Canis lupus familiaris: one gene and its partner. The protein of the gene in region 1 purifies or fractionates together with the protein of each later gene. This does not show direct contact. Links are inferred from orthologs where the notes say so. Each region holds a gene or a part of one and is shown in the gene's direction. Other genes may lie near its edges. The genes, in order: PPP2R3A and PPP2R1A.

Evidence for each region.
Region 2: the proteins of PPP2R3A (region 1) and PPP2R1A purify together in Homo sapiens (affinity purification with mass spectrometry; 6 studies listed by BioGRID and IntAct, counting the BioPlex papers as one, with this or other methods). This does not show direct contact. The link is inferred for Canis lupus familiaris from reciprocal best matches to the Homo sapiens genes PPP2R3A and PPP2R1A.

The regions. Positions count from the first base shown.
Region 1 is NC_049244.1:33,033,629-33,037,446, forward strand, and holds part of PPP2R3A (serine/threonine-protein phosphatase 2A regulatory subunit B'' subunit alpha), read left to right. Parts: intron 1-3,395; coding exon 3,396-3,662; intron 3,663-3,818. UniProt on the Homo sapiens protein: The B regulatory subunit might modulate substrate selectivity and catalytic activity, and might also direct the localization of the catalytic enzyme to a particular subcellular compartment.
Region 2 is NC_049222.1:105,633,900-105,638,502, reverse strand, and holds the start of PPP2R1A (serine/threonine-protein phosphatase 2A 65 kDa regulatory subunit A alpha isoform), read left to right. Parts: upstream 1-1,610; 5' UTR 1,611-1,715; coding exon 1,716-1,793; intron 1,794-2,130; exon of another isoform or gene 2,131-4,603. UniProt on the Homo sapiens protein: The PR65 subunit of protein phosphatase 2A serves as a scaffolding molecule to coordinate the assembly of the catalytic subunit and a variable regulatory B subunit.

The DNA.
Region 1 (3,818 bases):
TGTAGAGAGATTCCAACAGGTTTAAAAATAGACCTTCTGGACCTGAAGTACAGTACTCACATTTTTCTCTTGTAGAGAGGGAATCCAGTTTTAGAGACAATAAATACACCTCAATAAATATCTTACAGTTTACAAATTTTAGTAGAAATGTCTTTGAGAAACTGGAATTTCTGTGTTAAAAGCCTTATTTACACTTTGAATCAATAGACGATGTTTGTAATACATCTGTAATGAATTGTTTTTAAAGTATCAGGCCTGGTAATCTTTTTTTTCAGGAAGAACTAATTATATATATAGACAATTGTGTGGGTGTGATATAATGTATGAAACTAACAAAGGATGGCAATTAATTTCTGGGTTGTGAAGGAATGTCCTCCCTCAGCAAGCTGTGATACTGAGTCATTTCTGCCTATGATGATAACTTTGCAGAACCCATGCTTACTTTCTTATACCTAGGGCCAGTGTTGTATCAAACAATTTGCCTTACCTTGAATGCAATACAAATCAAGGGTCATACAAGTGATGGCCACCCAGAATCCAGTAAGAAACCATAGTTTCATAGTTATTCTGATTCAGAGTGATTTCAGATTGAGTGAACCATATGAAATTGCTTTTTTTTTAAATAAAAAATGGCCAAATATTGGAAATGCTACAGTGACATAATAGTATAAGGGTACTAACTAAATGATACTATATTTATAGGCTAATAAATGGAGAATGAAATGGAGAATTGAGACATTTTCCCCTAATAGTTCTATTTTAATGCTATTTCTCAATTTGAATGAAACCATTCTATTCAAAATGAGCAGATGCTGAACTTGCCAGTAAATCTGCCAAATTTTATTTAACTGTCTTATTCTATAGCATTTATAAAGGTCAGCTTTATTAAAATACTTTAAATTATGTATCTTGTATTGAATTCAGTGGAAAGTAAATTGATAACATATAAAAGTGCAAAATAAATGCATTTTTTCTTTTCCCTTTTAAATATTAACATCAATTTTGTTATATATGGGATTGACCAATGAATTGATAAATACTTTCCTATCAGTGAATTGCTTAATGGTAAGAGGTACACTAAGGAAAGCAAAGTAGATTATATAATTGAATACCCATTTAAATAAAAACTTTGACAGATAGCAGGGTTTGTTCTCAATTGTTACTTACTTCTGTCGAAGCAAAAGTGTAGAGTTATCATAGAAGGCCTTGCTTTAAAACCTCTGCTCGTATGTGCTCACTAAACTATTGGATTTCATCCCCACTGGCACCAGTGGTCTTAATCCTACAGTTATAACTGCCTGGATGTCACACCATGGGAAACATTTTGGGGAAACAAAAAAAGAATTTTCATGATTGTACACTTGTAGTCTCACAGACCTGTTTCAGCATAGAATAATAGAAAGGGGATATCACTAATATAAATGACCTATTATATTTAAATGTAAAGCCCCTGAAGAATTATATGCCCTGTAGAAGATTAGGAACAATTTCTGCTGTTACTGACTCATGGGACTATGTAATAATATTTACAGATTTAGCATTAAAGCAGAGAGAAATGTTTATAAACCGATTATCAATTTGTCAAATCAAAAGTGGTTTGTAAACTTTAAATTGTTTTACAAATGTAAACAATTCTTTTATTTCTTGTTGAATCTGAAGGACCATGCCAAATTATATTTAGCCTTTTAAGAACCTCACCCTTTAGCCTTGTGGCTCTTAAATAAGGACATATCTGTGTCTAGCACAGTTCTGAACCCTTTACCTATATTAGTTATGTCCTGTAATTGCCTTTAATCTTCACAGCAACCTTCCAAGAAGTGTTATAATCTGTTTTATTACTGAATTCTAAAAGGTTAAGTAATTTTCCTGAGGTCACAGAGCTAGTAAGCCATCACTGTTTTCTTTTACGTTTTTCATATTTCATTAGCCTCACTTTTCTCTGTGCCATGTTTTCTTTGACTGTTGCTTTATAGGGATGACATGCTTATACTGCAGCAAAATCTTGGTATGACCAACTGGTCTTTATATCCCCAGTAGTATTAATATATGAGCGGACTCTATGTATTAGTGTCAGATATTAATCTAAGAATGTGTCATGTGTGACAAAAGAAGACTAAATCATATTCATCACATATTTGTGTGAATGAAGCTATCTTCCTGTAATACTTATGCTTTTCAAGGGTAGCCAAGATTTTTATCCTGAGTTTAAAGATCTGTTATGAGCCCATATGTCAAAAGGAAATATGATATTCAGATCTACTACTTAGAAATAAATCATTGTTCAAACTTTAGGAGTGGCATTCGGATTATTTAAGGAAAGTTAACATTTGGGTAATATTTTGTGTTCATGATGATCAACAGTCATGTCACTCTTTGATAACTTTATGTAGTACCTAACACAGTGCCATGCTCATGAGCCTTGATAGATAATTTGATCAAAATTAAGAGAAGAAATTAAAACTCTGGAATCTTTTTTGCTTTTTCTGCTCGGAATCTCCAAACTCAATTTAGTCTTCATTGGTAAAGTAGACTTTTACCTGAATGTTAGTGAACCTCCCCTCCCCTTTCCCTAAATCATGGATAATCTTAATCTCCTCATTGCCTGCCTGTCCCCCCTTTATACCGTCCTTATGTTTCTTTATGGCATACCACATGAAATCTTTTTTGGACAAAGGAAGGACATAAACTATAAATGAGTTAATAAACTCTGAAGGGAGTTTGGCTGCAATGAAATTGATGACCATGATCCCTGCCTATTATTAGAGTGTACCAAAAATGAAAGAAGTGTGTATCATAGAAAAAAAATTGCATGCCCCAAGGGGCAAGTAAATCAACCTGATAGAAGACATTCCAAAAACTAAGATGCTTTAATTTTCTTAACAAAGGCTTTCTCTGCATCAGGGACTGGCAGTGATTTTACCTAAACAAAGTCAAACTAGAGAGAAGAAGGTGAAAAGACACCCCCCCCAATATATTTTAGATGTGTGCATTTTAAAAGAACTTACTCTTATCTGCCTGTCAAAGTAGAAGTAGAAATGTGCAGAAAGATGAACAGTCTTCAGAAAGAATTTACTACTCCAATTCCAACAGACTAAGAATACATTTGAATACTCCTTAATATGTCAGCTAACATTGCTCTTAAATGTCTAGAACATAATTGATGGGAAAATGTACTGTAGGATTTTTAAAGCATAAATCTGTTTAAATTCGAATATTGACAGATAATTAATGTGTTTATTTTTTATGGATAGGCATTCCCTAGAAGCACACTTATCACCCTAGTAATAGAGTGATTTCTTCATCTCTGCTGTCTCTATTCTTATTACTGATGAGGACTTTCAAGAAGTATATGCTGTTGAGAATTTTTGTGTTTCATAATCACATTTTCCTTCCAGATTCAAAATAAACCAGAAAAGAAACCTGGAACGCCACTTCCACCTACAGCCACCTTTCCAAGTAGTCCCCGACCTCTCTCCCCTGTTCCTCATGTGAATAATGTTGTGAATGCACCATTGTCCATAAACATTCCACAGTTCTACTTTCCCGAAGGACTCCCAGATGCCTGCAGTAACCATGAACAGACTCTAAGCAAAATTGAAACTGCTTTCATGGATATTGAAGATCAGAAAGCAGACATCTATGAAATGGGAAAAATTGCAAAGGTAATATAACTACTAAATGATATATAATCTCTCTTTCTCTGGCAATCCTAATCTCTCTCTCTCTCCTCACTGTCTCTTTGCTTTCTGTTTTTAAGCATGGCTAGGTTTTTCCCCCATGTTGAAAAAATTTATTTGATCCATCTATATCATCCTGGA
Region 2 (4,603 bases), on another chromosome or scaffold:
TTGGAGGCAGGTCCTTCCTTTTGGTCACATCTCAAAAACCTGGGCTGCTGCCAAGGGTCTAGCTGTTCAGTGCGTTACTTGGAAAAGTATGGACCAGCAGATTAAGGACCCCCTCCATCCACTGCCTTGTTGGGCTGTGAACTGTGGAAACCAATTGCAGTGCAGAAATGCTTGCATGGGTCACTCATTTAGATGCCCATGGTGAGGGCCTGTTCTTCACAGAGACTGCCTAGAATCAAGCTGATGATTGAGCCTGTTTCTGATGCAGAGGTATTTTTCATGGGGAACAAAGGACTAGCTAAGGACAAAGCACAAGCCCTGGGAAGTACATTGACAAGTCCTTGAAACAGGGGGAGTGATGTTCCTCTACAGACTCAACTGCCTTGGTGTTCATACTTTGCTAAGGGCAAAAGGCAAGATTAGCCAGACACCCAGGATCCTGTAAGTCTACTTTAACATATAAAAATTCCTTTAGAAATTCCCTTTATCTCTAAACCCCCAAGATACATATTGGCAATCATCCCACAAGCACGTGGCTCACCAATATACATTTGAAGGGTCTCATGACTCAGGTTTTATTAGACGGTAATAAGTGACCTTTTCTCAACAATAGCTAGCCCCCTCAAGGTCCTGGAAACCTTGCTTCCAAAATTCCTTAGAGTATGCTATCCTCAAACCCCTCCCAACCCCCAGGTATATAATCAGCCACCCCTCACAGGCCTAGGGCAGCAGCTCTTCCTGTCCACGGGTCCTGTCCCCGTGCTTTACTAAAACCACCATTTTGCACTAAAGACGTTTCAAGAATTCTTGGTGGTCGGTTCTAGACCTCACCTATAATTCCAAAACTTCATCAGTGGTAGTGGTAGTCGTATGTGGTTCTGAGGGCTGGACGGCAGTGAACGGGAGACATTTATGCAGAGATCTGCTCTCCAAGGAAAGGGATGTTTTGGACAAATGCTGTTTGACGTGAAAAAGCATGATGTACTGCGAGGGCTCTAATTTTTCAGGGCCACTGAAGTGTAAAACGAGAAGTGGAAGATGCGCCTAAGTACGGTTTAGGAACCAGATTCACAAGGGCCTTGACTATCAGCCTGAAGGGCTTGAGTTTCATCGAGAGAGTAAGGCAAGTCACCAACCTTCGGGGGGCCTCCGCATAATAAGGCAAAAACCTAAGGCTCATTCCCATCTCCTCCCTCACAGAGTTGCCGGCAGTACGTCCACCAGGAACCAGGACCACTGCCTCACAAGCCAAAACTTGCAGACTGTCCGGGTCCTCACATGACGTCACGCACTCCAAGCGACGCATGCACAGAAGCTTTGTGCTGGACCGGCCAGAGGGCAGTCTTTGCTTCCTCTGAATCCCTCCATTTATTGGTTAGGTACAACTGCTCGTCTCCCTCGTCGTTAGCGGCGACGTAGGCGGGTACAATCTTGGTCGCTAAGATACCGCGTACTTCCGTTTCCTTCCCCTCTCTGCTATACTGAGACCGCCGACTTCGTCCCTTCAACCAATGGCAAATGGGCAGTGGGCGGGGCTTCACTTATCCGGACCAACGAAATGCGGGCGTCGCGCGGCCAATGACCGTGGGGCAGCCCCTGTAAAGTGGCTCAGGCGACCCCACGCTCGTCTTCCGTCCTCTGCCCAGCCCTACCCTTCCTGCCCCGGTTTCAGCACGGCGCCGGCTGCAGTCTGACAGGAACGGGACGGAACCAAGATGGCGGCCGCCGACGGCGACGATTCGCTCTACCCCATCGCAGTGTTGATAGACGAGCTTCGCAACGAGGATGTTCAGGTCCGGAGGCTACGGGGGTCTTGGGGAATTACAGGAAGAGGTAATGGGGGCACGGACGGCCCTCGCGGAGAAGGCTCAGTGTTCGCTAGGAGTGGCGGAAGGGGGAGGCGGCCAATCAGCGTCCGGCTTTCACGTTTCCATGTCCCTGGACTGGATGAGAGGGCGCCCGGGATTGGGTGTTGGCCCACTGGAGGGCGGGAGGCAGGCCAGCCTGGAGGCGCCCGGGCCTGCCAAGTGCGCGCGGCGGCCCGGGTCCTGGGAAGCTGCGACTGGGGAGGGGGTCAGGCCACTGGGTGGGGCGGAGGGAAGGGCTCGGTGATTGGCGGCGGCCCCAGAATGGCCTCTTGGGGATGGGGCGCGCGGCCTATTCCGAGTGGGGGAGGGGCCCCCGGTGTGTGGGGGCTCGGGTACGTTTTCTCCTTACTGTGTTCTGGCGGCTGGGCCTCAGCGCCTTGGGGTAAACTCTCGGAATGGGGCTTGAGCGGTGACGGCTGCCCTTCCAATTCCTGCTCTCCCTCCCTTTTCAGTTTTGGTGTAGAATCCACGAGGGGAGGTGCGGCGAGAACACCCCATTCCCACGAGAGCAACTGGCCAAATTTAAGCACGGATTTCGAGATAGAGATTCTCCCGCCTTCTGGGGCCCTGCCGGGCTGCGGTGGGCAGTTGACTAAACAGCCTAGCACATTTCTGGTGAAGGGCTGAGAAGACTGAGGACTCCACGGTTTGCCCACCCCGGCCCTACCTCCCACCCGCCGTGTGACCTTGTGCAAATTACTTCATCGCTCTGGGCCTGTTTTCTCTGCAATGTAGGCTAATAATAGTTCCGGCCTCCCTGGGTGGTTGTGATGGCCTGGACGAGTTAATACTGCAAGTAAAATAGAACGGTGCCTAATTGTTATAAGGGTCCAATAAATGTTAGCTGCAATTATTGGGAGTAGTAATGGAAGAGGTCCCATTCCTTTATAGGAGCTTCCATTTTTCTGTTTATGAAATTGAGCGGATTGCATTAGGCCCAGCCTCTGAAGTTCGAGGTAGATCACTGATTCTGGAGTCAGACAGGCTGCTGCTGTACTTCTTGCTAATTGACATGGGCAAGTTTGTTAATCCTCTTGGCCCTGGCTTTCCTCTTCTCTCAGATGGAGGTAATTATCTGGTTCATAGGGCTCTTGTATGAATTCATTTGTTCAATAAACACCTGCCCCATGTCAGTTATGGTGATAATGGTGACACCAGTTGTTATACAAGAGGCAGATGTGAAACAGCTGAATAGATTATTAACAGTTGTGAGATGTGGGAAGGAAACAGGGTATTGTGATGGTGAATCAGTATTTATTGGGCCTCAGCTCTAGGTAGTGCATTGTTTTAGGCACATGTATACAAAAAGGAACAAGGTGGACAAGAACTCCTGGACTCCTACAACTTTTATGTTGCCTGTGGAGAAACAGACAATAAGACAATTAAGTTAAAATGTATACCATGTAAGATGGCAATAAATGCTTTGGAGAAAAATGAAGCAGGGATGGAGAGGACGGGAGAATGTTACACAAGTTTAGAATGACTAGGCAAGGCCTTATTGAGAAGGGGACATTTTAGCAGAAATGTGAATGAGAAGCAGGCCTCATAGATATCTGGGGGAATAGCATTCCAGGTAAAGGAAGCAAGCGCAAAAGTCCTGCAGCAGGAATATGTAATGCATGCTCTGAGAACTGCAGGAAACCAGTGTGACAGGAGCCAAAGGAATGAGCTGTTGGGTGTCAGGAGATGAAGATAAAAGGGACTATGACTCAGAGGGAACTTGTGAGCAGTCACTTAAACTAGGTGTTGCCAGATCATTGAGCACAGTGGTTAAGAAAGTTTTTGAGATGTTTTATGGTACAGCTTAACAAGTTTAAGTAGCATGAGGACCTGTGGATAGAAAGAGCTGTACTTCTGTATGAAGCCAGTGGTTATATGCATGGTGCTCAAGGGGCAAGGGATGTGGAGGGAGTATTAGATCATAAATGTTTTCGAATTTCTAATTGTAAAACTAATTTCACAAGATTTCTCTGGTATTAACTATTGGTGAGATATAGAGGCACTCTTTAAGAATGTAGCAAACAGGTTTTTTGTCCTTATTGAAACTATGCAGCTCTAGGTCAGCCTTCTGGGCTAAAAATGAACATATTTCTGCTTCTATCCCTCATCACAGGGATTGGCAAATGGCAAAGGGTGGCCCTTTGCCTTTTTATTTTTTTAATAGAGTGTTATTGAAAACACAGACTCTTCCATTTACATATTATCCATGGCTGCTCTGTGAAACAATAGGGTAGAATTGAGTAGTTGCAACAGAGACAAGTTTTGGCCCCTTAACGCCTAAAATATTTACCACCTAGTTCTTTACAGGAAAGAGGATGCCAACCTTTTTTTTTTTTTTTTTTAAGATTTTATTTATTTATTCATGAGAGACAGAGAGAGAGAGAGAGAGGCAGAGACACAGGCAGAGAGAGAAGCAGGCTCCATGCAGGGAGCCTGATGTGGGACTCAATCCCAGGACTCTAGGATCACGCCCTGGGCCAAAGGCGGCGCTAAACTGCTGAGACACCCAGGGATCCTGAAAAATAGATAATTAAACAAAATACGAAAACTCGACTTGAACCACCTCTGTATTAAATCCTATCCTCTCTTCCCCCCTACCTCCACCCCCAAAGTAGCCTATGTAATGAGGTCCTTACAAATCCTGGTAGGTATGTGCTGTTCACTGTGCTAGCCACTCTCTATATGTGGCTGTTGAACACATAAAATGTGGCTAGTTTGAGTTGAGATATGCTTAT